Lepisosteus oculatus: one gene and its partners. The protein of the gene in region 4 purifies or fractionates together with the protein of the main gene of each other region. This does not show direct contact. Links are inferred from orthologs where the notes say so. Each region holds a gene or a part of one and is shown on either strand. Other genes may lie near its edges. The genes, in order: bod1, ogt.1, setd1a and CXXC-type zinc finger protein 1.

Region 1 (7,603 bases), on a different chromosome or scaffold from region 4:
CACCCACGCACGAGCTCGCACAATCAAGGCGGGGGCGCTAGCAAGCGCGGACGTGGACTGAGTGGGCTTGTGGGAAGAGGCGGCCGCAGCTTGCAAATTCGGACCCCTCCCCCCCCCCCCCAACGAATACTAGGGCGCTCCAGACGCGCAGCAGCCCATCGATTATCTGATTCCCCCTCCCCCAAAGAGGGAAGGGGTCACAGGATTTTCAAAAATGATGGATAATCGGGTCATTTTTTTTAGGAGATTATCTTTTCACTTTCGTTAAGAACACTGTGCTTTGGGGTGCTGTGCATGTTTTTTTTAGTCTTTTGATTTTAACTGTAGACAAATGTTAGAAATATTGTAGGGAGTGTGAAGAAGACCGACACACCCGAAGAAGGTTCCACAGCCGAAACGTTGTGTTTCCTTTCTTTTCTTTTCAGCATGGAATAAACCTATTACTTGTTCCTTTGCAGCCTACGCATGCCGACGCAGCTACCCACCTGAACTATAAAAATAAGAGTACACACACACACACAAAGTACAGTACTGCAAAAACAGCACTGTACAGTATGCATTACTTCAGCTTGTCTAATGCAAAGCACAGTATATTTAGCTTGGTTACAGTGAGAAAGAAATGATTGTTTCACATCCTGCAATTTACTTTAAAGTGTACAAGTAAGGTGCAAGTCTGGAAATATAATGATTGTGAAATAAGGTCAGCATTAATACAATTTATTTGGTCTGCTGCTGGAGTTACTTCCCAAAACAGCGGACCGAGCGAGGGAATCACGTGTTTGTGGTTCAGATTGTTACATAAAGCCCATGCACTGCTCGCTAGCACAGCCCAACGTGGTGCCACACCGCTCGCCTGACACTGCCTTCAGCGCGGATTTCCAGCAAACAGCAAAATTACACGCCACTCTCTCCAGGTCAGCCATGACAGCCAGAAAATACAAGAACCAAGATTACCGGTCGTCGAATAATCAATGATCTCTGTCAATGTACTGCATTGGCAGACATAACTGAAATACAGAACAGTACTGCTTCTGGCTACTGTGAGACAAAACTGTGTTTTTTTGTTAAAGTTTTTTTTTAAAAGAAAAAAGGGAATACCTTAACAGACATAAAATGATTGCGGTTTTGTCAATTAAAAGGTGCTAACTGAAGAAAGGAAGAGAGGATAAACTGCTTAATTAAATTTCTTACCAAGACCATTCTTAATTAAACTTCTACACTGACTATTAGGAACCCCCACAGAATAATATGTTGGGCCACAGCAGGGTGTAGCTTGTATTCCATAAGGGTTAATATTTCCAGTCTGATGATTAATGATTGCATTTTTACTACAAATCATATTTTTTTTAATACGATATTGAGCTGGAGAATGTAACATGATCAGATCCTTAAAGCAGCACACAGCTCTCACAGGAGGCAATTCTGGCTCGGATGGTGGAAAGAGGGAGTGAAAGAGCAGTTGCATTCTGCAGTACCCTCCTGAACATGACAAGTTACAAACAAGAGGTGGCCTTTTGTTCCTCCTAGTTCTATTGGTTGATAGTACCTAATTGATCCAAGCATCTATTCCAGCAGTTTCTGCAGAGAAACCAAGGAATTGGCTTCAACAACATGTTTGAGTAGCCTGTTCCACACTCCCACCACCCTTTGGGTAAAGAAGTGCATCCTGTTGCTGGTTTTAAATGCACCTCCCAGCAGATTCCACTTGTGTCCTCTGATCTTGCTACTACCAATTCTGAACTGAGCGGAGGCTGAGGACATAACTTTGAAAGCCTTTTCTCCCCTTAGGAACTGAGCCGAGAATAAAATCCGACCTCAAAGGGAAAAAAAAGAGTGCCGCCAACTCACTATTTTGAAACCCGCCTCACAAGATCCGTTCTACATTTAACCCAGACGCGGATCATCAGCTGGGATACACCCACTGCTCCTCTGCAAAATGGCTTTCTTCTCCTCCCTCACCCCAAATGAATGGTCACTAGCTGACCTTTAAACTGAAGTGAAAAACATGACATCTTCTCACTTATCTTTCCCAGTCTCTTGCCACGCGAGCAACTGGAAAATCACCCCGCACACCACGCAGGCTGGGGTTACTGGAGGAAGGAACTCACTGGACCACACTCTGTCTCAGGCCATTGCGCACTTGGTTCTTGTTGATGGCCGGATTCCACTCCTGGCTGTTCAAGTGATTGGCTACGAAGTTGTCCACCTTCTGCCGCAGGTTCTGATAGGCGGGCTAGAGGCACAGGGGTTAAAAACACACACACACACAACAGGTCAATTTCTCGGTTTCCACCGCCATTCCTCCTTTGAATCACAGGCACCTAATATGAAACCGATAAAGTTTAAAGTCGCCCGAAAGTTTCTGTTAATTCTTGTGTTGCAATAATTCCTGGAACCTGCAAATTTCCTTTCGTTTAGCATTTTTTTTTGTATCCTGCTCAAGACTGATTTTGGCCTCCGTCGAGCTGAAAGCGTTTTACACTTTGCTGGCCGCTTTTCAACGTAAAAAAGCGTCAGAATACTGGCGTCAGCTCAATAAATTCTCAAAAACCGCTATCTGCAGACTCTATTCACTGATACCGCCGGATCTGAGAAGTCTAAAATCACAATAACGAAAGTCGAGGATTTTCATTTTACTCAAAGCCTGCTGCGAGTCGGCAGTAAACAGGCCGTGAAGTAAATCAAACTTTAGACAAATCCGAGCCCACCTTCGTGTCCACGTCTGCCAGGCAGTCTCTGCGGAACTCGTCGAACAGGCCCCGGTTCTTCAAGTGCTCCACAATCTGGTTTATGAGCTGCGGGTCTCCAGGCGGCAGGCTCGCTGCACCGGCACCGCTCTCCGCCATCGAGTTGGCGTGGCCGCCGATCCGAAAATAACAAATGCTCAGACAAGTACAGTAACTTTCACACACATACAACAGGAAAAAAAACTTATCTCGCAATACTTCGCTCTTTCTCTATCGGCGAAGGTTAACAAAGGAAAGAAAAACAATGACTGAACTGCAGTCTGGGATCAGTAGTTTGGCATCATCTGCTAAAAACGGAAGGCCGTCGATGGAAGAACTACGTGTCCCAAGCCGCACAGAGCGCAATGGCTGAGGTTCACTTCCGTTTTTAGGGGCGTTTGGGTAATGTATTTTTCCTCTGCTTGGGTCCTCTAGCAGTGCAGTATGGTCTCGTATAAAACTGTTTTTGGAGGAGAACGTCCAGTGAGATTCCCCAAAGGTTGGCCAAGCCTAACGATAGGAAACCCGTGGTTTTACTTTCATTTATTTTTAAGTATCATAATGGTCCAATGTGTGGTCAAAAAAACAATTATCTTCCAAGACGTTTAAAAATATAAACACACACCAGCATTTAGTCTTTAACAGTAAGAGGTGTTGGGAGTAAGTCTGAGCCCTTCCTTCCTAAACTTCCTTCCTTATTACCATTAGTCTTGTTTGCAGGAAGTGAGAGACAATTAAGCTTTTCATTATCTACTGCATCTTGAGCGGCTTGTGTCTGGACACGTAACGAGTCACGCAGGAATTCAGTCGGTGTGCCTTCAGCAGCGTATGTAACTGCCGAGCAGGCAGTGCATTGTCCACCGTGTTTGTGCAAAACACGAAAAGGTGATTGGCCTCCATCTTATGGACCCACTGCTACAAGTGGCTGAGGTGGGAAAATTATTCCTCTAAAATTCACTATTTGCTCTCTTCATTCAAGATAAGTGGCAGTCAGGGAAGCTGCACAATCCTGAAGGGTGCTGGAGCCTGAAGGAGCTGGCAATTATCAATTGTATCAAATACCCTGGAAAAATCTACGATGGAAGGCCTTCTCTTGATTTGGAGTGCTGAATTAAATAACTGTGTGGTCCAAAAAGTATTGCGGTAGCCTATACAGAGCCGAACGGTGTACTATAATAATAATTAATAATTGCTTACACTTATATAGCGCTTTTTCTGGGCACTCCACTCAAAGCGCTTTACAGGTAATGGCCACCACCACCAATGTGCAGCATCCACCTGGATGATGCGACAGCAGCCATAGTGCGCCAGAACGCTCACCACACGTCAGCTATCAGTGGGGAGGAGAGCAGAGTGATGAAGCCAATTCATAGATGGGGATTATAAGGAAGCCATGATTGGTAAGGGCCAATGGGAAATTTGGCCAGGACGCCGGGGTTACACCCCTACTCTTTTTTTTGAGGAACGCCCTGGGATTTTTTAATGACCACAGAGAGTCGGAGTCGGGTTACATCTCATCCGAGGACGGCGCCCGTTTACAGTATAGTGTCCCCATCACCATACTGGGGCATTAGGACCCACATGAACCACAGGGTGAGCACCCCCTGCTGGCCCCACTAACACCTCTTCCAGCAGCAGCCTTAGTTTTTCCCAGGAGGTCTCCCATCCAGGTACTGACCAGGCTCACACCTGCTTAGCTACAGTGGGCTGTCAGTTGTGAGTTGCAGAGTGATATGGCTGCTGGCAATATTGTTGTACTGTTGTAACCCGTTTTAACTTGTTGTTGCTGAATGCTTCAGAATGAAACTCTTTCAAAGACTCAGCAACTTCATACTCTTCTTCTCACACTGACCTCGTCTCAGTGGTTAAAGAAACTTGTTCCAGTTTCCATGGCAAAACCTCACAGTGACAGACCAAACTGAAGGGCCAGTGTGATGGTCAGTGTTATTGAGCCCCTTTGATGGTGCATTTTAGAAGGAACGGTGTGCGCAACTATCTGTTTAAATACTTACAGGGTGTCTTTTAACTCAGGCTACAGGGAAAATGAATCACGTCCTCACGGCAGAAAGCTTGCCTGGCTGATCTTACTGGAGTTAAATTAGGCCTGCGTTGCTGAGCAGGCAATTACTGAAGCATAGGTATGCTGGATTATTCTGTGTAGCTCCTGCATATTAAGTGTGACATTGAGAAACCTGCTCCAGTGAGTGAATGATTGTGTCTTTTGAAACTGTTAAAGGTATACCAGCAGGAAATGGAAATCCTGACAAACCGTTCTACTGTGAAATCTGAATGCCTGGGCTTACACAATCCTCTTTGCATGTGTTTGTTTTAAAGCCGCATCCTAAACTGTAATTCAGGATGCAATTTAAATGAGAAAATTAGTATGAGGTGTGATCATTCACTGTGCACGTTTACTGTCTACAGTAATATCTGCCTGCATTTGATTTAATATCCTCACCCTTGTCTGTTGTCCTGTGTTACTGTGCCTCCACATTTCTCCAGGCCTTCTCATCCTGTTACCTGGTGATTAGTACTTCTTTTCTTTCCTGCCTCTTGGCCTGATCTTTGCATCCCTTTGACTCCCCTGGTAGCCACGTACTATACAGAGCTTACTTCAACACATTAGTGGCCACAGTTAAGTTACGTCTATAGTTACAGCCAGTGTTCCACTAGAGGGAGCTAATTCAGTGGTTGAATCAGGTCAGTTCTTTAAACCTAAGATACACCAGAACCGTAGAGTAAAAGAGATAAAATCATATATTTGTTTTAATTTTCAGTGTAAAATTGTACACTTTTTTAGAATGAAATATTTACATTTTGCAGTAAAATGAAAAACACATGATAAAATTAGGCATGTCTCACACCCTCAGGGGTACCCCAAGATAACCACTGAATGTTGTCAATAATAATAATAATAATAATAATAATAATAATAATAATAATAATAATAATAATAATAATTGCTTACACTTATATAGCGCTTTTTCTGGACACTCTACTCAAAGCGCTTTACAGGTAATGGGGACTCCCCTCCACCACCAATGTGCAGCATCCACCTGGATGATGCGACGGCAGCCATAGTGCGCCAGAACGCTCACCACACATCAGCTATCAGTGGGGAGGAGAGCAGAGTGATGAAGCCAATTCATAGATGGGGATTATTAGGAGGCCATGATTGGTAAGGGCCAATGGGAAATTTGGCCAGGACGCCGGGGTTACACCCCTACTCTTTTCGAGAAACGCCCTGGGATTTTTAATGACCACAGAGAGTCAGGACCAATAGCCACACCAATAGGACAATAGCCACACCAGGTATTAGTTGGATTAGTGGTGATGATGTTTGAACTGGATTCCATACGTTCTCACATCAGTGTAATTTGCCTTGAGTAGGGTATAGAAAGGATGTGCATAGTGGTTGTAGTTTAGTAGTTTTTTTTTTCCCTTGTTGTTGTGTGAACCTGAAAAGGCCACGGCAGAGCCTCTTGAGCTGACTGGACTCTGTGTGGCCCACAAACAGTGCTCAATGTTATGGGCCCAGACTGGCAATAATCCTGGACTTGCTTGTCTACTTTAACATGAGGAGTCCAAATTCAGAGGTACTTAGGGTCAGTGAAACCAGTGTGTGCTTGGGGATCAATAGCCAAGGCGAGATAGAGCGTATCTGTATTTAATAGGTGTTCTTAGGAAACAAAGCCGAGACTATTTCTCTGACAACCTCCCAGCCACGCCCTGCTGAGATTTCAGCTGTTCAGGCTTCATTATTACGCAACAGGCAGACGGTGATTCCACACAAAAAGGTTTTTCATTTCAGTGTGAAATTAACCTCTGCTTGTTCCTTTCGTTCCTGGTCATCCCTGTCTTGTTTGAATGTTTGTGTCAAGTAGTGGTTTTGTGTTACTTAATTGTGTTATTTCTTGCTTATAAATGCAAGAAATTGACAATACTTTGTTGCCGCTGCTCTGCAGTATGTAACTCTTTCACCGTTTCTTGGCTCTTACAGTTCATTGTTCTGAACAAAAGCTGCCTTGCGTAAAGGTGTCTGCTCAATGTTACCACAACTATGATATACATGTACACAAAAAAAGGCAGAAACGGTGGCGGAGTTGAAACATCATTAATGGATACAGCCTGGTGAGAGATACTGAAGTAATCGAGGCTGTGTGTCAGCTCTGAGCTCAGAGTCAGCAGGAGGGCTTTTATTTAACACTGTGGTCTAAATTCTTTAATTGAAAAGAATCAGCAGGAAGTCACTTCCTATATGAAGTCAATAGCAGCCTCTTGAGTTTCCAGGGCCTGTTGCCAGGCAACTAGAGAAAGGAGCCATGGCGACATCCAGAAGAATAAAAAGCAAGAGGCCTGCAGGTGAGAGAGCTAGTTCCCAGGTAGATGCCAAACTTATCACTGTTAACTGATTCTTGTCCGTAGTGCTGTGTGGCATCCTTCTGGCTTTTATTCTGAAAAGCCATGTTTCCTGTTGTGACCTTTGACCCTTTGACATTATTTTTAAAGGGGTGGTTAACAAGGAGGATGTCCAAAGAACTATAGTAGAGGAATAAAAATCTGCTGGAACAATTCTCTCATTTTGCCTATGATGGCTGAGAATCTAGACTTAGAGAGGAGCTGATGTGTCATCCCGATCAACAAGTGCATATACAGTCTATGAGAACATCACCACTTACTGGGGTCTGTGCCAATTTTTTTCACTCCAGATCTGCCTCATTTCTGAAGTAACAGTCTGTGTACACTCATCCTCAGGTTTCCATAGGGCATTTGACTTTTTTTTTATTGTACAGCTTATTTTATTCAAACATTTTACGTAACAGTTCTAAATATTGTATCACCTGAAACCTGTTTCAGACAACTGAAAATAAGAACTG
Region 2 (7,938 bases), on a different chromosome or scaffold from region 4:
CCAGGGGGTCCGTTTTGATTCCATATGGAACAGTGCAGCTCCAGGACAGCAGTGCACTTGAGTGTAGGGTTCTAAAATTCTGGTCCTGGAGGACCAGTGCGTCTGCAAGTTTTGATTCCAACTCGGCTCGTTAACGAGATAAAACCGGGGTTAAGGTGTCGCACCAGCCCCCCCCCCCAGGACCAGAACTGGACAGGTGCCGTCCCGTGCTTCTCCCAGCCTGCACTGGGGCCCCTGCCCTTACCTATCCAGCCGGCGGCACTGGAAGTGGATTGAGGAGAGCAGCAGGAGCACGCCGGTGTTGTCCGGCTCCTGCCGCCACAGCTGCATGCAGTGGCGCTCGGCCGCCTCAAAGTCACCGGACTGGTACTCCCGGTGCGCCAGCTCTGCCAACCCTTGGAAGGAAAGCATACGTTTTGTCGGTTCTGGAGCAGAGTCACCAACACAACCCGGGGGGGGGAGGAGGGGAAAACAACACGTTAGAACAAATGGAGAAAAAAAAAATCAAACATGAAAACAAAGAATCTAAATAAAAAAGCAAAAGGTTAAATGTAGAACATTCAGTAAAACAGGGTGTTAAAACTTAAAATGAGGATGAAATGTTCTGAAACATAGAACAGCAGTGATCTGGACAACTTTAATGTTATCCAATGTCTTACCTGCACAGCTATATCATGCTCAAACACATTTTGCCCAGTTGGAACAATCCATGAAACTACCCAACTTTTTTTTTTTTTTTTTACATCAAGGCCGTTTTATGGCACAATTTTATGTTGTTGCCTTTAGAAAGTACTAATGGAGCTGAAACTCAAATTTGGTTTCCATTAAACCTCATTCTTCTTCACAAATTGTACACAGCACTTCAATCAGAAGTAAATTTTAATATGAGAAGCAAAACACAGTCCCCAGAAAATGTTTAACGGTTGCCAATTTCACAGGTTTTGTCAAATTACCTGAAATGCTGTTAGCACTATACCACCTTGTCATCTTACACCCTGGATCAACTTTAATACATTACATCAGAGATTTGCACATATTAACAAAATAAGGTTGAGGATAAAATGACCCAAAAATGAGAATGGAAATATATTATGTATACCGATAATGAAATGATGACAATACAGTGAACAAATGATATTGACAACAGAGGGTAAGCACACAGAAGAAGCCCTTTGCTACTGTGGTATATGGAGTTTACACAGATGGTGAGTGATTCCTTGTTTGCTCTATTCAGTACAAGCCAGATGGACTGCAGTCCACACCTTTGCAGAACCTAAACAGCTCAGGAATACATGGTTATACTCAGTCATACAGAGTGCATACTTTGTAATTAACTACAACAGCTGCTGCACTGAACTCAACACGGGTAATTAAGTAATTAATTCATTATCTGGGACAATAGATGCACACCAACAGGTACCAGAGGGATATGAACATGAACAGGTCATTTAAGTAAATTCTGAAAACTGAATGAGAAACCACCTAACTTGTGCGGTCTACATGAATATAAAAGAATTCTTCATCTTTCCAACATAGTAGTGTGATTTAATGTACTCGTTAGCTATTAAATATTACTTCAGTAGCTGTACAAAAGACGTACACCTCCACTAATGTTACACAGTACAGGACCCCCAGAATCACACTGCTGCTGGTTTCCAACTCAGCGCATAACTTAAACGAATCCTTAAACCTCACAATTTAAATCTGCTCAAAGGTAGGAGATCGTGGGTTACCTGCACAAGAAGGCAACTTCCACCATGATTATGAAGTAAAAACAATTCAAGAGTTCAAATTAATCATATTATGCTGCAGAGCTCAGTGCATAGCGCCTATTCTGAGCGTGATGTGACCTAAACCTGTAAAAAACGAAATCTGGCTGTTTTGTTCCACCTCTTAATTACCTAAATCAACTATTTAGACCCAATTAAGTGCTGGAGATTTAAAGAGATCTAGAGAAAATGAGCCACACCAGCACTTCAGGGACGATCCGATCTGGACGAATTAACGTGCGTATAATACCCGAGACAAAGGACGATTGGGAGGGACGTCTCGCTACTTTAAGCGCCTTTCAGTAAAAAGAAAACAAGACGCTCGAAACACACGCTTCTGCGCTATGCAAGCTCGGTGAGTTACTAGACGGTCCCTGGTTTGTCTAAACCCGCCAAAACGTTATGTTAAGCGAACTCGTGGGTGAAAAGGGCCGGCTCAACTGGGCTGCCGGACGCGAGGTGCACGGTGCCCACAAGCAGATTAACGACAAACTGGCCCTGGCGTGTCTCCACGCTTCTTCGTATCGTGTGGTTCTGCAACAGCGCAGAGGCCGCAGTCCAGCGAGCTGTCCGGCAGAGATGACGTCAGCGCTCCGTTTGCAGGTACTCGCACACACAAGCGAGGTTTAGCCAGCTAGTTAAACAAGCAGGCCTCTCCGGGTTTGTTTTTTTTACAGATTGTTCTGGCCATACTGTTTAGTAAGGTTAAAAGCCGCTGTACTGCAATGCCTTTTAGAAATACAAATACCACAGTTTCAAGTGGACTTTATCATAACTGCATTCATTTTCCCCCCCTAAACTCTGCTTCGACCTATGTCAGAGGGCTGTGCGAGTCGGAATCATTTTCACTGTTTTGTGCATCTCGCAATGAAGAAATGTCCAATTACACAATGCAGCCCCTGTTCTGGTTTCATGAACATCCATTCTCGTATCAATACCCCCCCGGTTTCGGGAGTGGTATATTACTAGTTTGTAAATTTAATCCCCATACAAGTCGAATTTAAAAGGGATTCGAACACAAAGCAACCGCTTCATGTCCAAAAAATTATTCCATCTCGTCTTTTACCTACTCTCCAGTCGTATGAGGCTAGTTTAGGAGAAGACCAAACTAAACTTTGCTGTTCATTCAATCTCAAGTTAATATTTAATTGAGCAAGCAAACGACAGAAGCCGTATTTACCTGTGCTGTCAGCCACGTTTCCAACTGAAGTCGCCATCTTCACAAGTCTTTTGAAATCGGAACAAAAATCGCTGTTAAAAATGCTTTGGATTTTAGTTTCTTCTCAAAAAAAAAAAAATTTAAAATTGACGACCCGTGCCGCGAATTCGCCGTGCGTATCGATCAGTAATGCCGGTGAGCTCGTCAACTACAAACCTAAAATAACACACGTTGACTCAGTCAAATGTTTGATATCTCTTCCCGATTTAAAAAAAATAAATATCGAGCGTTCGATTTTTTTAAATCTGACTGATCGCAATTTTTAAAAGGTGCTCTTTTATATTTGTAAACTTCTTTGCATAGACCAACAACCGCGTCGACAACAAAGCGGCTGTTCTAAATCCCGAAATGGCGGCTGCGACCGGGACTACTTCAACTGGTACAAATAGACCCCCTACGGAGGACCCACAGAAAAACGAAACAGCGGGACAACGGGAGGCAGCGTCGAGCCTTAAATGTCTAACGCTACGTAATAACAGATGTTTGTGGGAGGGGAACGAGAAGTTTCTCTCGGTTTGAAGCGGATGGAAAAATTCCCCCTTCGCGGATGTGTCAATACCAGAGACCGCTGTGTCTAGGAACTAGGCAGGGCTGTGTACCGATGCGCGGCAGCAATGCGGCAATGGGTGGGCCAGCCGGCACGTGGGGAGCCACAAAGCCGTATCTCGTACTGAACAGGATATGCTAATTGGGTTTTATGGAACTGTTCTTAGTCTAAATAAATATACATACTGGGCGGAGATCGCAAATGATGTCTTCTTCCAGAAAATCACGCAAAAAATTTTCAAGTATTTTTTTTGGCACCAATGTCAATTCATAATAAAAAGGCCCAGGGAAACGCTTTCGAGATGTCGAAAAATATGCCAGTGTATGTCTATTTTTTTCGACTGAATCCTGTATTTAGTTCTGTACATAAACTTCACAAATACAGCGAGGACCAACCAAAGGGTCTTTTAGCGTTCGTAGCAAATAATTCCTCACAGCCGAAACGTTGTTTTCTTTCTTCTCTTTTCAGCATGGAGTAAACCTTTACCTGTTCCTTTGCAGAACTGGTGACATACTGGGATATGGGAATTCCAACAGAATCGTGTCCTAATGTACACCCAGCAACAACTATCTCGTTTGTGTCTTGTTAGGACAAGTAGTGTTCGAGTTCATCTTCGGACGATTTCATTTTTAACACGTTCACAGCCCGCCGCACCGGGACAGAGCCGCAGTAGACGCTGTTGTGGTGTTCCAGACAAGCCCGTCTAGTGAAATCTACCGTTTAAATGTTAAGGCTTTGATTCTCAATGCATTATTGATCAAATAAGTGTCTTTATTTAATGAGGATGGTCTTCTCTTGCTCCGGGGCTTAAAATCACAAAACCAGCTTCCAGGTTCCTCTTTCAATCTGCACTTGCGTCTCTGAGCCGCAAAGCGTGCCTATGGCGCGCCCCCTGGCGGGTGAGACTGTCTACACACCCTACTCGTGATGTGTTGGATACCTTTTATTTTTATTGCCGACTTCATTTCAAAGCTTAACAGCAGTTACAATTTGGGAAAAGGCGATGTGCCGGAAAATGTAAGTATCTACGCCAACACAGAAGTTCTACCTCCCAACATCCTAATGGTTAATGATCTACACACGGTCAGGTCATGTCTGCCCAATCCTGTTCCCGGAGGACCAGTGTCCAGTTCTGTTTCATTAAAACTCTGCTTTTAACAACGTAAAACAGCTCGTCAACTGGACACATTTAGCTTCTCAAGTGTTGCCGTTCTAAAGACACTCAGAAAACTGATATATAGCTGATGTGTGGGGAGCGTTCTGGCGCACTATGGCTGCCGTCGCATCATCCAGGTGGATGCTGCACATTGGTGGTGGTGGAGGGGAGTCCCCATTACCTGTAAAGCGCTTTGAGTGGAGTGTCCAGAAAAGCGCTATATAAGTGTAAGCTATTATTATTATTAAAACCTGAGACCACGACGGTCTTCCAGGTTAGGTCATCGGATGTGGGAATTGTAATCTGAACAGTATCCGTCTGCAGCTCTAATCGGTAGTGTCGCGTGTTCGCCACACGAGGTCACTAGTCGAATTGGTGAAAAACCTTCACATTATGACAGTTTAATCTTTTTTTTTTTTGTTGTTGTTGCTCCATTTCATATCAAAATGTTTACAACCAAGAGAGGGCTTCTCAGGCTGTCTTGCCTGTTCTGTTTGGATTCATGCATTTCATTACTCTCGACCCTCCTTTTTTTTTTTATAGGAGTCCTCAGGATCACTCTTCTTTGAGTAAAGATGTCTCCTCATAAACACGGGGCCGAGAAGTCTGAGAGTTAGGGCATCCCCCTCCCCCCCACACCGTCTCGGTGTTTATTTTTCCCAGAAAAGAGTTGGGGTCCCTAGCTCCAGCAGGAGAGAGAACACACTCCCTCTCCCACCTCCCCGTTCTCCTTCATTAGCCTCTCTTTCTGTGTCTTCTTCCTCTGTCCCTGCTCCCTCACCTCTCTCGTCATCCTCCTCCGGTGCAGCTCCTGTTCCCCTGCTGTTCTGCGTTCGGACTGAACCCCCCCCCCCCCCCCCCCGGTCTCAGCGTGATGAGCTTGCCCCCGCATTCCTTCCTCTCCCGCTGGGAGACGGGCCGTTGCCCCCGGCGACCGTGAATGGCGGCCCAGGCGAGAGGAGAGTCGCCACGGTCACCATTAACCCCCAGCCACCCGGATGCCCCCCCGGTCAGCTGAGCACAGTGTATTTTAATTTGGGGAGAGGTTAGGCCTGCTGTGGTACCCTGAAATGCCCTGTCCTCTCTCCATGCCCTCTGTCCCCCCCCTCATCCTCCCTAAATATTCCCAGTCCCTCTACCCCACAGACCTTGTCCTTGCTGGCCCAATTCGGAATAGAGTGGAACCAAGAGACAGCATCAGCAATCCCATTGCATGGCTGTTGGAGCCGTTCCGGGTTTTACTAGCGACCACAGCAGGTAAGCGCGAGCTCAGCAGGTAAGGGGGGGCCGGGGATCTCGGCGTGCCGTCAGGCTTGGTCTCTGCGATGACGTCGCCCGTCTCCCGGCTGCTGAAGCCCCTGCTGGCCTTTCCCCGTGAGCAACCGCAGGGCAGGCCTGCGAGGGGGAGGGCAGCCCCCGGCTTTGTGTTGTGTCTGCGGGTTGTTCCCAGCTCCCGCACGCAGGGGCTGGGGCGCGGGAGGCGAGAAGAGCCCCACGGATTGGGAGAAGGAGAGGAGGGCCAGCCTGGCCTTCGGCCTCTGTGAATGTCTGTCAACACCGCCGCTTTCAGAGGGCGCTGGCTCCCCGGAGAGCCCCTCTGCACTTCAGCAGCCTGGCCCGGTCCGGACCGGACAGACCGGAGCCGCAGGGTCTTTCTGCCACAGGTTTACACGTTCCAGTTAAGCCACAATGACTCCTCTTCAAAAGTTCGAGCTCATTGTCGTTATCCTCCTCCACGGGTATATGGTAGGACGAAACGCTATTTAGCGGGCTCTCGGACGGTGAGTGGTGCAAACCACAAGACAAAGGTGCAAGAAAAGAGACCGAGGCAACGGGCAACGTTGACGTCCGATTTTGCACAACTGTTGCCGACAGAATGAAATAAAGGATACACAATTCTGGGGAGTAAACGTCTTGACACGTGAGGTAGAGGTAGATTTCGTTGTGCGTTTGAGTTTTGATCTAGAGAGAAGGCCCTGTAAGGGTTCAGATGTTAGGCGAGAGGCTGGGAGTTTGACAGTGTGGGGGTAAAAACTGTCTCCGAGTCTGGTGGTCGGGGCCTGCATGCTCCGGTACAATTTTCCAGGTAGGCAACAGCAGGACTGACTATATATAGATCCGGAGATACTTGTTTTTACTTGCAGGTATAGTTTTACTTCCCAGGGTTTTGTCAAATTTAACACCATTTTTCAGAGTTTTGAGGGGTGGTTCCTGAGCTCAGGGTCACCTATGGTGGTCTCTCTCTCTCTCTCTCCACCCCCCTGGGGCTTTTTTGGGGCACAGTGGACTGAACGAGCCCCCCTCTTTTCCCCGCAGTACAATGCCACAGGCTCTGGGCTCAGCTGGGCAGTAGTCCAGGCGAGAGTCTACTGGTGTTGTTTTGTGGGACATGCCCTGGTTTCTCTCTCTCTCTCTCTCTCTGGGGGTCAGAGGTCACCTGGCCAGTTTATCCACAAGGAATATTCCTACCCTTCTGTTAATACAATCCACTGTATCTTACTACAGCCTGTTTTTCATGGTCCCGTACAGTGCATCTGCGTGCGCTGTACGTCTGTGTTGTAGATGGACCACAAATCTGTTTAATTGATCAGTCTGTTTCATGGGGGGAAAAAGTCCCCTTTCAACCACATCAAAGGGTGGAGGTAATTCTGGTTGGGTGTAGTGCCTGCCTACCCCATTGACACCTGCTCTGTTGTTGTGGATAGGCTGAAACCCTTAGTGGTGTACATCACATGGCAGCCACTAGGGGGCATGCTGGAGTCACTGTCAACAAGCCCTCCTGTCCAAAATGACAGCTTCCTTATAAGAGAGCTTGAACAGCGTTCTGATTCCACTTTACTTACCCTGCACAGGTATTCACCTGATGTTGTCCAATTGACAGAATGAGAGGGGCACTGTGGGTTAGTGCGTCTGTGTTCAAACTCCCAGTCTAGGCCAAGGATATTCTCTGGACGTTGGTTCTCCCTTCAGGCCTGAGCTCAAGGAGGAACCTGAAGGAAGTGAGCCTTTTCAAACTCAAACATGCTGCTGTTGTAGGAGAACCCTCCGTCTGACACAGGAGTTGAGGAATTCCTTGAGGAATAGAAATTCAAAGTCCCCGCTTAAACCCTTTAAGACATCTTGTTTTTCCTGTAAACAGCCTTGTGGTTTTTATGCTACTCGTGACAACATTGGCTACTTAGGGCAGGAAGTGCCATTGTGTCCTGTCTGGTCAGGGTGAAGGATTGGTTTCACACGGGCCAGGGCC
Region 3 (7,842 bases), on a different chromosome or scaffold from region 4:
GAGCACCCCGCGGCCACAGCTGGACACGGTCTGAGCACCCCGCGGCCACAGCTGCCCCCCCGCGGCTCCTGGCGAGGGAGGGGGCTGGGGGGATGGGTGGAGGCGGAGGGAGGGTGAGCCAGGCGCTGTGTGAGGAAGAGGGTGGTTACATCACTTCCGGTTCAGCTCCGTGCAGGGAGCACGAATGCAGGGCTGTTGCCGGGGGACTGTGCTAGTAAAGGCATGCCACACGGGTTCGAATCCTAACCTTGTAACCTGCACCTCCCGACAGCCAGCCTGCCGGTGAAGCAGAGGAGCAGTTCTTTTAGGGATGCGGGCGCAAGATGGGTCACAGGCAAGAGGAGCCTGTTCGGGCCTTTTGGGTTGTTGATCCCAAAAGCCAGGGTATCGCCTTGACCAAGCTGTCCAGTACTGCTGTTCCACACTCCCGCCACCCTGTGTGTAAAGCAGAGCCTCCTGTTCTCAGTTTTTAATGCATTGACTGTAGTTTGAACCTTTGTCCGCTGCCGAGTTCTGAGGAAGCTCATTGGACCGACTCTGTCAGTGTCGTTGAGGATTGTGAGCATGTGCATCAGGTCCCATCACATCTTTATGGCAGTGAGAGGCATTACAGCCCAGCTGGGGCTGGAGATCCTCAACCCTTGTAGTGGGAGTCCTTATTCCACCAGCTGTAACCTGCAATTCGAACCCGGGCCCAATCTGAGTGCTTTGTGAGGAAGCCCGGCTTCTTATGGCGATTCATTGACGCGGCAGAGAGACTCAGCAGGACACAGGGTTTGCCATGACCCTGGGTCATTCTGCGTGGAGCCTGCGTGTTCCTCACAGACCTGAAGAAGGCTCCACAGCCTAAACGTTTTGCTTCATTTCTTTGCTTTTCAGCATGGAATGAACCTTCCCTGTTCCTGTGTTCCCCCCCCACGCCTGCTCTCCATCACTCGTTCCCAGTGTGCCCTGCACTGGCTACGAGACGCCGACACTGGAACAGGGGCCGCATTAGGGAGGGCGGTTCTTTAACGAGGGGGTCCACAAAGAAATTCATCATTTATATATCGCGCGGAACGAAAAATGTATCGTTGTATGATATCAGTGCGTACGATTCAATATATTATAAGTGGTTATACATTAGTGGATGGGGACAGCATGGGGGTGCAGTGGTGAGCGTTGCTGGGGCCCTGGGTTCAACTTTGGACCTGGAGTGCTGTCTGTGTGGAGTGTGCATGTTCTCCCTGTGTTGGCGTTGGTTTCCTGCAGGTGCTCCAGGGCCATCTAGTGGCCGCAGTGAGAAATGGCCAGTCCCAGGTTCCCCGTGCCCTCCCTGCCCTCTGGCCTGAGGGGGGGGGGTGGTCGAGGAGGCGTCGGGCTGCGAACCAGCTTGCAGGAAGAGGAAGGGGTCAAGGACAATTAGGTGGGCTGCGGGGGTCCCCACGACAGACGATCCTCTCGGTGGGTGGCGGCACCCCTGTCTGAGCCCCGAGCGTCACCCGGAGACGAACTCCTCGTTCCCACAGGGAGCGCCAGGCCTCGGGAGCTACCCCGCCTCCCTGTCTCTTTCCCTTTGTGTCCGGTCTTGTAAATATCCCCGGCGCTTTTTTCGTAATTAAATATTATATTTTGGAAATAGAAGGTGGCCGTGTGTCTCGTCTCTTCCTCGCCTGGGCCTGTTGGGGGCACACACTCCGCCTTCCCCCGAGACAGACACAACACTAGGCATGACACTGAGCAGGCTCAAACACTGCAGGGGCCGCCTCCTGCGTCACGCAGGGCCTGACGTAGACGCTCGTGGGGTATCAAAGTGTTGCTGGGAAGTTTAATTATGAGTGTGTGTTTTGGGGGGTGGGAGATTTTAAGTTCAGGAATGTTTAATGACTTTTCCAGTTTTACCCAGCTGGCCCCAGGCCCTGGTGCCGAGTCTGGAGGGGTCGTTATCTCTTAATTAACTTGCACAGTCCGAGTCAGCAGCAATTGAGAGCGGTGGAGGTCAGCAGTCGGGAGCTCAGGCGACGACACGCCTCCTCCTCCGGGCGTGACCGCTTCTCCGGGAGCAGGGATCGGGTATCCAGGACCCTGGCGGGTATTTTGGGATCAGAATTCCCCTCGCGCTGCTTCGGCCGTCGACTGAGCGCGCAGTGGGAGAGGAGGCGTCTCGAGGAGGCCGAGACCAGCTGATCCTGTTGTTATTATGGTACTCGGGATTAAAGCTGCTGTCCTACCAGGCAGAAACTGAAGGGGCCACTAATTCATCCGACCGTTTTCCGACTGCTTCCGATTCAGGGTCACGGGGGAGGTATAACCTAGACCTGCAAGGAGCATGTGCAAGGCAGAGAGCACCCAGAGGAGACCCATGAGAACACTGTGAGATCATGCAAACTCCACACAGACAGCACCCCAGGAGCTGAACCCAGGGCCCCGGTGCTGCAAGGCAGCAGCGCTCACCACTATACTAATGTGCCACTTATTTCAAATATTTGAATTATTCATACGAGTAAGCCAATATGTGGGTCAAAAGTTATATATATATATGCTTCTTTATCATATATATAGCTGAATACTCGTGATAATTTAATGTCCAGATGAAGGCTTGTAAGTTAGCAATGCAATATTCTAAATTTCAGTGTGCCAGGAAAGGACTGCAGCTGCTGTTGAGGTTGAATTTGATCATGTGGTGAATCATAGAGGCTTTTGAACTGCCAAATGATACAGAGACCGACTGCAACCCTTGTGACACTTGTGAGAGCACACTGGTGATCTGTGACACGATGATAGGCCTGGGCTTCGTGTACGTGTATGAAATACTATAAAGGTAAAACTCATGCTCAGGTGCCACATTCCACATTCACAGATGCCACTTAGCTTGCCAGTATGTCCACAGTTCCAGAGCCGGGACAGGGAGAAAGGCAAGGACGACAGCAGGAGGCAGGGCCTGGAGGGACTCCGTTTGTGCCAATCCAGCCCCAGCAACCACTTGCACAGATTGGAAAAGGACAATCAGCCTTTCAAAAGCGTTTGCAATATACTGTAGTAGAGGTTGTATGACTTGTCGGGAGTGTGTACTCATTGTAAGATGTCTATTGTGAAATAAAGTTTAGTTTGTTAGAAAGAAAATGTCTTTGGGCTGTGGGAGCAAACGGAAGCCACAGGAGGAAATCCACACGAACTCGAGGAGAACGTGCAAACTCCTCTCAGACAGCACCCCAGGGCTGGAACTGAAAGCAAGGCCCCAGCCCTGCGAGGCAGCGATGATGACCACTAGCACCGGTGTCACCCACAGCTCCCCCCTCTGGACTAGCAAGCGGATCGATAAAGGCATGAGCCGCGGAGACGCACAGGTCAGCTGCGGGGGACAGCCGACACTGTGGGAACGCCGTGCCTTTTTCATCGAGAAGAATATAGTTCACAAGCAGACGATGCTACGGCAGTAAATCCACTTTCTGTACACATTTATTACACCTAGTTTTACACGTACATCGCACACAGCAGTCCCAACGCTGATATTTTAAGATAAATTTAAACGGTTATGTACGGCACAGTTATTATCTGTCCATAATCCAAGTAAGAAAAGTAAAGAAAACTCGCCGGGCCTATGGGTGGACGATGACTGTTGCTCTTAACAGAAACCTGACTACAACCGAGTGCGTGAACCATCAGATTACTGCGATGGCGCTCAGAATCAACCGCCGACTATAGAGATCTAACCTGTGTTTTGTCTTTGTTCACTGGTCTTTTTGGATACCTTTTTCTCCCTTGTTAGTATGGGTTGATGTTAAATACAATTTTGAAGAAAAAAAAACTATAGCAACCTTCCGTCACCTCCGAAAGTAGGTGACTCCGGTTCAGGTTAAAATAGCGTTCAATGGTTATTAAAATACATGGATATATAGATAACACTGAGTCGTTATAGATGCTTCTGCATTAAATTCACTTTCAGACACAAAGACTGTTGTCTTGTTGCTGTGTTGCGACGGCGCGCCAACGATAGGAGGTTTAACTGCAGTTCATAGTATTCACATCGACTTATTTCTGTCTCGTATAATTCACACAAGGCGCTTCGTATAAAATAAAATGTTTAAATGGTTCCCGAAGCACTGAATTTCACACGTAGCGCTCAAATACGACAACACAGCAACGTGTAAAAACATTCAATCCCACTTCCGGCCTGTAACCACGCCACTTCTCCACAGCTAGCTCGCCATTACAGTCGGCAGTTTCCACAGGCATGCTACTGTTTTTAAAAAAGTATTATTAAAGCAAACGGTGGTGTTCTCACTCTTTTAGAACATAGCACTTCCATAACCGTCTCAATTTTATGGTAAAAAGTGTAAAAATGTAGGCCTATGCTTCTAAACAAAGGAATAATACAGGTCCTCTTTGCGTCTTTCCATTTGAGTTGTAGTGTTGAAGACTACGAATCAGCTGATGGGAATCTCTTGTTAGTTTATCTTTTGTTTGTGAGGGGGAGCGCGAGCTGTTTGCGCAGTTCCGATTGAGAACACTTAGTTCGAGATCGAAAACGGCAGATTCACCAAAACTGCTAACGCTAATAGGCAGAGAGAAGTAGTGGCGGAGTTCGCTCTTGTTGTTATTTATATTTATCACGCCTAACGAAGGCCGTAAACCGGACAAGAAAACATCTGTGTTTTGATAGAAAGCAAGGACTCTAGTGATTCCGTTTTTATTTTAATGTATTTTCCCTTCCCTGCCTTCTTGTGCACTGGTTAGCAGACAGACGTGTAGAAAGTGCGACTGCGGACACAGGGATGTAATTCGCAGTGACTGATGGAGACCAGGCGAGGTGTTCAGGTCAGTACGCGGCCGCCTCTCGGCTAATTTTTTATCTCCGTTTTCCGAAATAAAAAACCGCTTCCCGTTTATATTTCTGCTTGGGGGTCACATATCCGAGAATCGGAACATTAGCGACGCTCTTAGCGGCCGAAAAGGCGGGGAGTGGAGTGGAAGGGGTGGCGGTTTTTCGGGGTACGGCGCTCTGTGCGGCTCCCGTTCGGGTGAGGCCTGCGCCGGAGCCGCGGGCTGGGAGTTTGAAGCGAGCCGATTCCGGGAGCGAGGGCGCCGGCCTGGCAGAGGAGCCGAGGCCCAGTGGAGATGGGGGAGAGGCGGGAGGGTGGATGCGGGTGAGAGGACGGAGAAGGTAGGGCATCCCGTTGTTCGCTTCAATACCACCTTCATTCCCGGGATTGAACGCGTGCCATTATTTTCGGGGAAGTTTGTTGTTCTGTGAAGTCCCGCCCGTGACGGTGAGCGCCGAGTCGGGGTAGCGACAGCCCGAGCTCGGGGTCGACAGTTCTACTCCCCGGGCCGGTCGCACCGCCGGACACCCGGGCAGTCCCGGGCAGCACCGCGGGGTCCCACAGCCGGAGCCCCGGGGCGGGCTGACCGGGTCAAGGTGCTGGGTGTGAGGTACCCAGCGGCGGGTGATCTCCGCTTCATTTTCCCGCTGCCGGAGACTCCGCTCCAGCCCGGTTAGCGCAGCGAAGGCTCCCCGAGGAGCGCGTTAGTCAGTCCAGGGCCCGGGTGGCCCGCAGGCGAGGACCAGCGTGTTGCCGTCCCTGGTGTCCGGAAGCGGGAGACGGTGCGCTCCTCCGCGGGACACAACAACACGCTCGCAGGGGGCGGCGCGCCGGGCGATCCCCGGTCCCGCTGGGCGGACTTCCGGACAGGAGCGCACGGGCTTTATGTGCTCTTACCCCGGTACGTAACCAGTGAGGACGCGTGTACGTCCAGGTGTGTGCTTGACTGGCCAAAATATTAGGATCCCCCGGTGGAAGAAAGCGTCGGGCTGCAGGGCTTCAACTTGAAACTACAGGCCGAGCCCAGAGTGCGGCGCACGAAAGGGCGGTTCTTTTTTATTATGCTGTTTGGGTTAGTGGTGCCGGACGGGTGGTTCTGTTGTTATTGTGCAGTTTGGGTCAGTGTCAGACTGTACGTTCTGTTGTTATTGTGCAGTTTGGGTCAGTGTTGCACTGTTAAGTTCTGTTGTTATTGTGCAGTTTGGGTCAGTGTCAGACTGTTAAGTTCTGTTGTTATTGTGCGGTTTGGGTCAGTGTCGCACTGTTAAGTTCTGTTGTTATTGTGCAGTTTGGGTCAGTGGTGCTGGACCGGTGGTTCTATTGTTATTGTGCAGTTTGGGTCAATGGTGCCTGACTGCTGGTCCTGTTGTTACTTAGCTGTTTGGGTCGTGGTGTCAGACTGTAAGTTCTGTTGTTACTGTGCCGTTTTGGGTCGTGGTGTCGAACTGTAATTTCTGTTGTTACTGTGCTGTTTGGGTCGGTGCTGCTGGACCGGTAGTTCTGTTGTTATTATGCTATTTGGTCAGTGGTGCTGGGCGGGCCTATTGTTACTGTGCTGTTAGGGTCGTTGGTGCCGGTCGGGTAGTTCTGTTGTTAATCTACTTGTTGGGTCAATGGTGCCTGACTACTGGTCCTGTTACTTAGCTGTTTGGGTCGTGGTGTCGGACTGTAAGGTTTTTGTTATTGTGCTGTTTGGGTCGTGGTGCTGGACCTGTGGTTCTGTTCTTACTGTGCTTTTTGGATTGGTGGTGCCGGACGGGTAGTTCTGTTGTTATTGTGCTATTTGGTTGGCGGCGGTGGTGTGGGTGTGGTTGTGATTCCACGGGGAGTGGTGGGGTGGATGCGATACTGGGGGCAGTGTTGGTGGTGTGAGTGTGGTTGTGATGCCGGGGGTTTGGGTGTGATGGCGCGGGGAGCGCTGGTGTGGGTTTGATGCCAGGGGTGTGGGTGTGATACCGGGGAGCGCTGGTGTGGTAGTGATGCCGTGGGGAGCGCTGGTGTGATGCCGCGAGGAGCGCTGGTGTGGATGTGAAGCCGCGGGCGACGGTGGTGGTGGTGGTGACAGCATCAGTGTTATCCTGAATGGTGGTGATATCAGACGCCTTTCTGTTTGGGGAATTTTCTGTCACTTCTTCTGAGATATAGGAATGTGAGTTCTGTTGAGCCAGTTGGCGTAGGCAGGGCAGGGAGAACTGGAATGTTATTGGGTAAGACGGTTGCATGTGTTGAGCTTGTTGTTGATAATCGCTTCAGTGCTGCTCACAGTGAGCCTTGGGGGGACCAATGAGTTATGCTAATGTGTTACTAACCAGGGTCAGGGATTCCTCACTGAAGCATTGTTCCTCCCTCCCTGTGCTCAACAGTGAGTGAGTATGGATCCAGACAGCGGGGCAGACACACAGAGAGCCCTCAATGTCCAGTGGAGGAGCTACAAGCTGATTGTGGATCCAGCCTTGAAAAAGGTTTCACAGAAGATCTACAGATACGATGGAGTCCACTTCAGCGTGCCGGTTAGTGTCGCCCTTCCGGCGTTTACTGATGGTGTGTGAGAGGTGTCAGTGACGACCTGCTGGTGGCGTCAGTTTCTGTGTGTGTCAGTGACCATGTGGGTGGAAACCTGATGACAACAGGAGTTGAGTGTGTTAAAGTGACCGTTACGTTCCTACAACTCGGGGTTCAGGTGAGTGCTAATTTACCAGCAGCCATATCACCCTGCAACTCACAACTGGCAACCCACTGAAGCTAAGCAGGTGTGAGCCTGGTCAGTACCTGGATGGGAGACCTCCTGGGAAAAACTAAGGTTGCTGCTGGAAGAGGTGTTAGTGGGGCCAGCAGGGGGCGCTCACCCTGCGGTCCATGTGGATCCTAATGCCCCAGTATAGTGACGGGGACACTATACTGTAAACAGGCGCCGTCCTTCGGATGAGACGTAAAACCGAGGTCCTGACTCTCTGTGGTCATTAAAAATCCCAGGGCGCTTCTCGAAAAGAGTAGGGGTGTAACCCCGGTGTCCTGGCCAAATTTCCAATTGGCCCTTACT
Region 4 (8,059 bases):
CGGTCCAGCTCTGCCTCCTTCTCCCGGCTCTTCTTGAGCCGGTACTTGATCTCCAGGGAGGAGTCCTTCTCTGAGGAGGGGAGACAGGGTCACACTGACTGACCGACACCCCTCCTTTCAGGCAGTCAGGCAGAAGAGAGCTGACCAGTGACAGCAGCGTGATCCAGTCCAGGTTTCACCAGGACCTACAGCAACAGCTGCACTTCCAGCCCGTGACCTCAGAAAGAACGAGCTCGTACGCCATGACGTTAACGTACGTCTACCTTTCGGCACCGGCTGTGCGGTTCGCACACTGAGATCGGCCTGCAGCTCACAGCAAAACCCGGAATGGACCAACCTGCTGTGCAATACGAGACAGGTCTGTTTCCCCACAGTGTCTTCTGAACAATCAGTAACACACAACCAAAACGTTTTAAAAAAATCATCCAGCCTGGAGCCCCGGATTTCTAAATTACTTTCTGTAGCCTGGATAAAACAGCCGTGTCCCTTCCCATGACTTCACAACACAGGGAACCTGAACTACACACAAGGGTCTCCGACACGCCTGAGCCTCGAGGCTGCTCCCCGAGGGAGAGTCCCCCAGAGAGAGGAGAGGCAGGTCCTCACCCCGGCACTTCCCGCAGTACCACTCCCGGATCGCCTTGGCCATCTTCTCCGTCACGTTGATGCAGTTGCCATGGAACCACTCGTTACAGCGGTCGCAGCCGCTGCAGATGAGGAGATCACGCATGGCACACACAGATGGACACGCATGCACACACAGGGCCATCACACGCACACAGATGGACACGTGTGCAAGCACAGAGCCATCACACGCACACAGACGGACACGTGTGCACACACAGGGCCATCACAAGTACACAGATGGACACGCGTGCACACACACGCATGGCACACACAGATGGATACACGTGCATGCACAGGGCCATCACACGCACACAGACGGACACACGTGCACACACAGAGCCATCACACACACACAGACGGACACGCAGACACGCAATCCAGATGCACAGGAGAAAGAAAAGAGAAGAAAACACCAGTGCAACAGTCAGAAACAAAAATGTGAGCTCAAACCCTTACACCAGAGGTGACGAACCCTGGTCACCCAGGCCAGCAGACTCTATAGGTCACCGCTAAGTCACCCATTTCTCAAGATTAGTCAAAATTTCACAGTAATGAATAGAGCAGGACATTTTGAGATAATATAGGACCAAATCACGTTTCTCTCAGTCTCCACGGACCACAGTATTGTTAACTGATTAATTATTACATTAATGTTACCAAAGTCTAAAGACCTAAAAGACTACTTGACTGGGGCTCTCCAGGACCAGGCTTGGAGACCCCTGCCTGACACAGTGCACAGTACCAAGCTGTGTCGTACAGGAAACCTCTGTACAGACCTGCACTCTAACACTGTGCACATGGCCAATATTCTGTTATAAACTGTTCCATAGCTGTTCAAAACTTTTGACAATACCCTTGTAACACACCTCGCCAACAAAGCCCATTTTGAATTCTCAATCTCAGCAAGCACAACTAACAACAACAACAACAACAACACAAATTGACTCGCAAGTTTATGTTTCTTCTAGACTTCCTAAGATATTGAAAAATAAAAAGGGAGGCTTTGTCTAGGCTGTGCAGCGTGAGTGGCAGAGGGGTGCGTCGAGGCTGTGCAGCGTGAGGGGCGGAGGGGTGCGTCGAGGCTGTGCAGCGTGAGTGGCGGAGGGGTGCGTCGAGGCTGTGCAGCGTGAGTGGCGGAGGGGTGCGTCGAGGCTGTGCAGCGTGAGGGGCGGAGGGCTGTGTCAGGGCTGTGCAGCGTGAGGGGCGGAGGGGTGTGTCCAGTCTGTGCAGCGTGAGGGGCAGAGGGGTGTGTCCAGTCTGTGCAGCGTGAGGGGCAGAGGGCTGTGTCAAGGCTGTGCAGCGTGAGGGGCGGAGGGGTGCGTCGAGGCTGTGTGGGTGACAAGAGTGTCGGGCGGTGACGCCCAGAGGCCACGAGCTGGGGCGCAGGCAGGAAGCTGCGGGCGGCGGCGGGCTCTCACATCATGAAACAGTTGATGTCGGGCTTGCGGCAGATGCAGTAAACCGGCGCGTTCTCTCCGTTCTCCCCATTGTCGCCCTCCATGCTGCTCTCGGCCCCGGGGGCCTGGTCCAGATCCGACACCTCGCTGTCCTGCAGGGAGAGAGGAGGACAGGTGACCGCGCTGGACTCCCCTGGCCGCTCACCGCCGTGAGACCGAGGGAGAGGGCTGCCAGTGCTCTTGCAAACGGTCAGCCATGAGCAAACCAGAGCCCCCTAAAGCAGAAAGCCTACCAGCGCTCTTTGCTCGCGGTTCTGTGACGGGTGAACAATTACAGGGCTACAGCATCACACCACCTGTCTGACTGCACACGAAACAAGCGCTAACATTACTTTGTTTCTAATGTCTGTCAGTTATTTAAATGTGAACAGTTCGGTCGCTCAGCTAAATATCGCTTCCAACTGCTATGCTACCGTTCCAACTGGCCTATCACAGCAGCCAACAGTAACCGAACACAATATCTGATCCGAAAGCACGACCTTTTTTCTAAATGTGAAACAAAACAGAGACCAAATGCAAATCTATGAGCGATGCGTTCACGGGCACTAACGTATAATACAGATTTTCAAGAGGAAAGGACTCCCCGGTTGCGGTCATGCTGTGATCTACTTTCAAGACGGGTTGAAACTTTCCAATTTAACATTTAACGAAGAAAGGCGACCTGGTCGTTTTACGTAAAAAAAAAAGATTAGCTTTAAGAGCGGAAAAAGAAACGTGTTTTTCACAGCTGTAACTACAGAGAAACGAATCGTTTCAAACTATGAAGCTCAACCACCTCACCATCGCAGGAAACACGCACGGCCGCCTCTTCCTTCTTCGGATAAAGAGTAAGAATGATGAAGTAAGGCTATTAGCAGGTAAAGAATAACCAATAAAAAAATAATAATCGTCGCAAAAATCCCCCCCTTTCACTCAAAATAAACACAAAACGGGCTGTCCCGACAGCCTCCTGACTTCCGCTTCCGGTTCAAACCACCCGTCTCCCCACACAGACGTATTGCCAGACTGCTCGTTTGGAGAACCGTTGGTGTCTCTTATATCAACAGAATATACTCCTAAGGGGAGAAAAAAATGTGTTTTTTTTTACAGACTGTGGTTTATGATTTCTATTATGACGAATGAACATGTTTCTATGTTTCTATATGAAGAATGGGCAGCGGTAAACACCGCCCTCTAGTGGCCGGAGGGTGTATGATACCAGAGCCTGCGGGAGCGCTAGGCTGCGCCACCTGGTCGCCTCCGCTCGGCCGAGCTGTCGGACTGGACACTGGCCTGGGACAGCCGGCAGGCGGCCATGACCACATAACATAAACGCTAATTGCGTGCAGAGTAGACTAAAGCACATTAATGAGCAGAAGGACAGGAAGGTGAATAATTATCATAAGCATTCTTCCTTTTTATTAGGATCCCAGTATGCAACGCAAATCTAAAAATCTGCTTCTCAGCTCTAGATTTATTTTCTTGCTTGTTTGTGTGCTTATACAAAGACGCCTTTTCATATTGGAGTTCCATCTGAAAGTATTTAACAGTTTGTACTATTCTTGTGTATGGTATGACCATTCTACTGTTCTGTTACCGTGACAGGACTGTTCTCCTGTACTGGGACTGTAGCCCCTACTGTAACAGGACTGTTCTACTGTACTGGGACTGTAGCTCCTATTGTAACAGGACTGTTCTACTGCACTGGGACTGTAGCCCCTACTGTAACAGGACTGTTCTACTGTACTGGGACTGTAGCCCCTATTGTAACAGAACTGTTCTACTGTACTGGGACTGTAGCCCCTATTGTAACAGGACTGTTCTACTGTACTGGGACTGTAGCCCCTATTGTAACTGGACTGTTCTACTGTACTGGGACTGTAGCCCCTATTGTAACAGGACTGTTCTACTGTACTGGGACTGTAGCCCCTAGTGTAACAGGACTGTTCTACTGTACTGGGACTGTAGCTCCTATTGTAACAGGACTGTTCTACTGCACTGGGACTGTAGCCCCTATTGTAACAGACTGTTCTACTGTACTGGGACTGTAGCCCCTATTGTAACAGACTGTTCTACTGTACTGGGACTGTAGATCCTACTGTAACAGGACTGTTCCACTGTACTGGGACTGTAGCCCCTATTGTAACAGGACTGTTCTACTGTACTGGGACTGTAGCTCCTATTGTAACAGGACTGTTCTACTGTACTGGGACTGTAGCTCCTATTGTAACTGGACTGTTCTACTGTACTGGGACTGTAGCTCCTATTGTAACAGACTGTTCTACTGTACTGGGACTGTAGCCCCTATTGTAACTGGACTGTTCTACTGTACTGGGACTGTAGCTCCTATTGTAACTGGACTGTTCTACTGTACTGGGACTGTAGCCCCTATTGTAACAGGACTGTTCTACTGTACTGGGACTGTAGCTCCTATTGTAACTGGACTGTTCTACTGTACTGGGACTGTAGCCCCTATTGTAACAGGACTGTTCAACATATTACTGTAAATTGTAAATGTATAGTATTTATTTATAATACTAATATTTATTTATAATAAATATTGTTACATTACGCGATGTGTAGGTTACTGAACATTTAGTACAAGCGGTAAATACAACACCTTTACGTCAGTTCAAGAATTGTGACCCACATAAAGTTCCAAATTGAGTCCGCAGTGAAGATACAGTCTTGTATATAATTCCTACGAACTGGGTTATTCCACTGTTAGTTTTTTTACTGTAACCCTGTAGCCACCAAGATGAATAAATAGAATTCGAAGATTCAAAACAGAAAGCTGTCTTTTCCGAAATGATGGACTACAGTCCTTGCTGTGTGTCGTGCAGAAATCAGCAGTGCTTTAAAGCGGATCGTGAGAAATCAGCCGCAGTTTAAATTTGAATCTGAAATCTGAGCGCCGAGCGAGAGAGGGAGAGGAGTCGGAGAATGTGTCTGTGTGTGTGTGTGCGAGAGAGTGTGTGTGTGTGTGAGCGATAGTGTGTGTGGAAGTGTGTGTGTGAGAGAGGGACGGGCTCTGTAAAAAGTTCTGGTTGCCGCCTGGAGTGGACACAACAGTTAACCTGTTCGGACGGTTTTCATCTGGCGCCTAACCGCGCGGACACCGGACGTGGCACTGACCGCTCAGATTCCTTAATCTTCGTTTTTCAAGAAACACAATTCGTCCTGTTTTCTCCTCCGCTGTTAGACGCTTCCACGGTCTAAGACTGGCTCTAATTACGCTAAGGTAAGATCGTGATGTTTTACGGATTTAACGCGCGACAGATTAAACACATTACAGAGATTTTAGCTGTCATATTTGTCAGCCTTGACTGTGGTAAATTGTGCATCATAACTTGATACTAAATAATTGTATTTTATATAGCCCCTTTTGAGATACACAATCTTTGGGCGTTTTGTCATAGGATCATCAGCAAAAGAGTCATAAACAAATAGACCTTAAATCTATAGTATTGAAGACATACATTCTTATACAATCTCTATATATGTTGTTTGTTTTCTTAAAATGTCGTTTAGCTTAACGTTTTGAGTTTTTAAAGTGAACGTAGTATGCCTGGAACTGACACTTCAAGAAAATCTAAAAATAAAATAAAAAACATTATTTCCTCCGGGCGTACTTACTGTACATGTTCGCCCTAAGCGTCGGCTGTAACTGAAAATGCTGCAACACGTTAAAATGCCAGCTTCCCTGTGTGTAGAGGAATATGGTTTCTTATTAAAATCTTCCATAGAGCCTTAACCACCGGAGGAACAGCCCGGGGACCCGATACTACCCTGGCACACGAGTAAATAGAAAATGATTTCCACAAACGCTTGTTCTGTTGGGTCAAAACTCGTGGGGTTGAGTCAGTCGCGTTCCTGGGGGACAAATTGGGATTCTCGGTTTGTGCTTTTCAGCGGGGAGTCGCCGATTCCCACTTAAATCGGTTAATTTTCTCAGGAGAAAAAAAAAACTAGTTCTTACTTAACTGTCTAGAATGAGTCATCAATTCCCCGGCGGGGTTCCCGCTGCCCGGAGACAGGGGGGTCAGCGCCGGTCCGTTCGGGACCCGGAATGTGGGTCTCCGCGGGTTGTGCTCGGGTGTCGCTCTCAGGGACATTTTTCTCGACACGGACCTCGAACCCGGTGTTACCCGCGCCTTTCGGAGGGACGCGGCTGGACTACACCGGGTGCCAACAGCCTCCCTGCGCCCCCCTCGCTCGGTTAGTGCCCTCTTCAGTGAACAGCAGCGGCCTGTAGTCTCCAACGTCGCAGCTTGTGACCCGGGCAGTGCGCTCGGCCTTGCCGGGGGGGGGGGGGTGTTTGGAGAAAATCCTGTCATGTTTCGTCATTTCGTGTAGAAATGGCACGTCTCTCCATTCCTGGTTCCGAGCGCACGGTGACCTTAGAGTCGGAGGGGCCATGAAGGATATCAGTGGTATGTTATTCAAATCTGACCTTTAATTAATGACAAAATATTACCTTCGATGAATGTCAAATCGTTACCACTGATTCGTTTTTTGTTACCTCAGCGGTCCTGAAATGAGGAGGACCTCAGGGAGCTGGTCCTGGGTGCGCAGAAGGCCGAGACTCACCGGTGTTTAACGGTACTACATTAGCAGCGGTGTGACCCGCCGGTCTCTGTAGGCGACGAGGAATCTGCTGGTCTCGGTGGTGGAGTTTTTGCTCTCCCTGTGAATCAGGACCGGTGTAAAACGAGTCGAGGTCTAGACGTGTTGTTTCTCTTTCCACCGGCCTCACCGGAACAGGCCTCTGTCGCGACCCGTCAACGGCACCGCCGAGAAGCCCTGCTGCTGTACGGGTCCGTTCGGGACGGGACCCGGACCGGACCGCGTCACAGTTGTTGTTGTTGTTGTTGTTGTTGTTGTTTAACTACAGCTGTTATTCCCAGTTCTGTCTATAAGTCTATAAGCCACACAACACTGTCCCATGTAGAGGCGTACACCGCGTCTTTGTCAGGTGTACCGGTTCTTTCACAGCGGGGATATTTTCTGATGCGGGAACAGATCCGATTTTCCGGGGTGTCTGGCTGGCAGAATACGGGGGCACGGGAGTGACCAGCGGTGCATGACCGTTTTTCAGGGGGATACCCCCACTGACCTGCTTTTCGACACTTCAGGCCCGAGACAGTGGCTTGCTCGTCCGGAGGCGTGCGGAAATGGAATTCGCCGCACAGTCAGGGTAACTCGCAGGGGCCAGATGGACAGTATCTGTGATTTGTATTAACGGACGAGCCCGGGGCAGAAGGATACAGCGCTGCTGGGGAGAAGTTTATACCCTGAGCGAAGCCCAGTCTGCAGCCCCACGAGCAGTTCGCACGCTGACACACTGCTACAGTTTGTGGTGAACGAGTGTTTTAGTCAAGGTTAAGACCGCGTTTCCAACCATGTGACTTTATTTTTTTGCACGGGGTTTTTGGTGATTTTTATTCCCGAACAAATCAGCAAAGCGTAATTATTAACATCGATTCGTTACCTCAGCAAAAGAAAAACAAAACAAGAACAAGGTCCAGCGTTTGATTAACAGCTGGGGTCGACCGGTGTCTTGCATCCCCCGGACAGAGTTCGGAATTGCTGTCTTGTTCTGCTCCGAGTACTGTAAAAAAAATGACCGATCAACCGCAAACACGCAGAAGAGCACTTGAAAGCGAGGCCAGGAAGGACGTCTTTACACACAGGGTTGTGGGAGTTGGGAACAAACTCCCCAGCCGTGTCGTTAAAGCCGAGGCCCCGGTGGTTTTCAAAACACCTGGAAGAGATCCTTAGATCAATTAGGAAACTGGGCTCCTCTGATTTGTACCTTTTCCTGTGTTCTGAACACGCCGTGCGGAGTCGACATTTTAGTTCGCCAGCCGAGCTACGACTGTCTCGTCTCACATGTGATTAATCTAGTTCATCCAGTAAAAGACGTGGGGTTTTGTTTTTTTCTTACTGCGCTCTGACATTACCCAGAAAGTCCGAGCCCGGAGACTTTCAGGTGT

Evidence for each region.
Region 1: the proteins of CXXC-type zinc finger protein 1 (region 4) and bod1 purify together in Homo sapiens (affinity purification with mass spectrometry; 4 studies listed by BioGRID and IntAct, counting the BioPlex papers as one, with this or other methods). This does not show direct contact. The link is inferred for Lepisosteus oculatus from reciprocal best matches to the Homo sapiens genes CXXC1 and BOD1.
Region 2: the proteins of CXXC-type zinc finger protein 1 (region 4) and ogt.1 purify together in Homo sapiens (affinity purification with mass spectrometry; 3 studies listed by BioGRID and IntAct, with this or other methods). This does not show direct contact. The link is inferred for Lepisosteus oculatus from reciprocal best matches to the Homo sapiens genes CXXC1 and OGT.
Region 3: the proteins of CXXC-type zinc finger protein 1 (region 4) and setd1a purify together in Homo sapiens (affinity purification with western blotting; 16 studies listed by BioGRID and IntAct, counting the BioPlex papers as one, with this or other methods). This does not show direct contact. The link is inferred for Lepisosteus oculatus from reciprocal best matches to the Homo sapiens genes CXXC1 and SETD1A.

Annotation. Positions count from the first base shown.
Region 1 is NC_090706.1:27,680,859-27,688,461, reverse strand, and holds the start of bod1 (biorientation of chromosomes in cell division protein 1), read right to left. Parts: upstream 3,053-7,603; 5' UTR 2,847-3,052; coding exon 2,709-2,846; intron 2,234-2,708; coding exon 2,109-2,233; intron 1-2,108. UniProt on the Homo sapiens protein: Required for proper chromosome biorientation through the detection or correction of syntelic attachments in mitotic spindles.
Region 2 is NC_090703.1:46,135,039-46,142,976, forward strand, and holds the start of ogt.1 (UDP-N-acetylglucosamine--peptide N-acetylglucosaminyltransferase 110 kDa subunit), read right to left. Parts: upstream 3,353-7,938; 5' UTR 2,987-3,352; coding exon 2,950-2,986; intron 2,373-2,949; exon of another isoform or gene 2,298-2,372; intron 2,125-2,297; exon of another isoform or gene 2,037-2,124; intron 426-2,036; coding exon 245-425; intron 1-244. UniProt on the Homo sapiens protein: Catalyzes the transfer of a single N-acetylglucosamine from UDP-GlcNAc to a serine or threonine residue in cytoplasmic and nuclear proteins resulting in their modification with a beta-linked N-acetylglucosamine (O-GlcNAc).
Region 3 is NC_090699.1:15,682,655-15,690,496, forward strand, and holds the start of setd1a (histone-lysine N-methyltransferase SETD1A), read left to right. Parts: upstream 1-4,463; 5' UTR 4,464-4,797; intron 4,798-7,165; 5' UTR 7,166-7,174; coding exon 7,175-7,312; intron 7,313-7,842. UniProt on the Homo sapiens protein: Histone methyltransferase that catalyzes methyl group transfer from S-adenosyl-L-methionine to the epsilon-amino group of 'Lys-4' of histone H3 (H3K4) via a non-processive mechanism.
Region 4 is NC_090697.1:75,676,877-75,684,935, reverse strand, and holds the start of CXXC-type zinc finger protein 1, read right to left. Parts: upstream 3,077-8,059; 5' UTR 2,868-3,076; coding exon 2,865-2,867; intron 2,177-2,864; coding exon 2,046-2,176; intron 708-2,045; coding exon 607-707; intron 71-606; coding exon 1-70. UniProt on the Homo sapiens protein: Transcriptional activator that exhibits a unique DNA binding specificity for CpG unmethylated motifs with a preference for CpGG.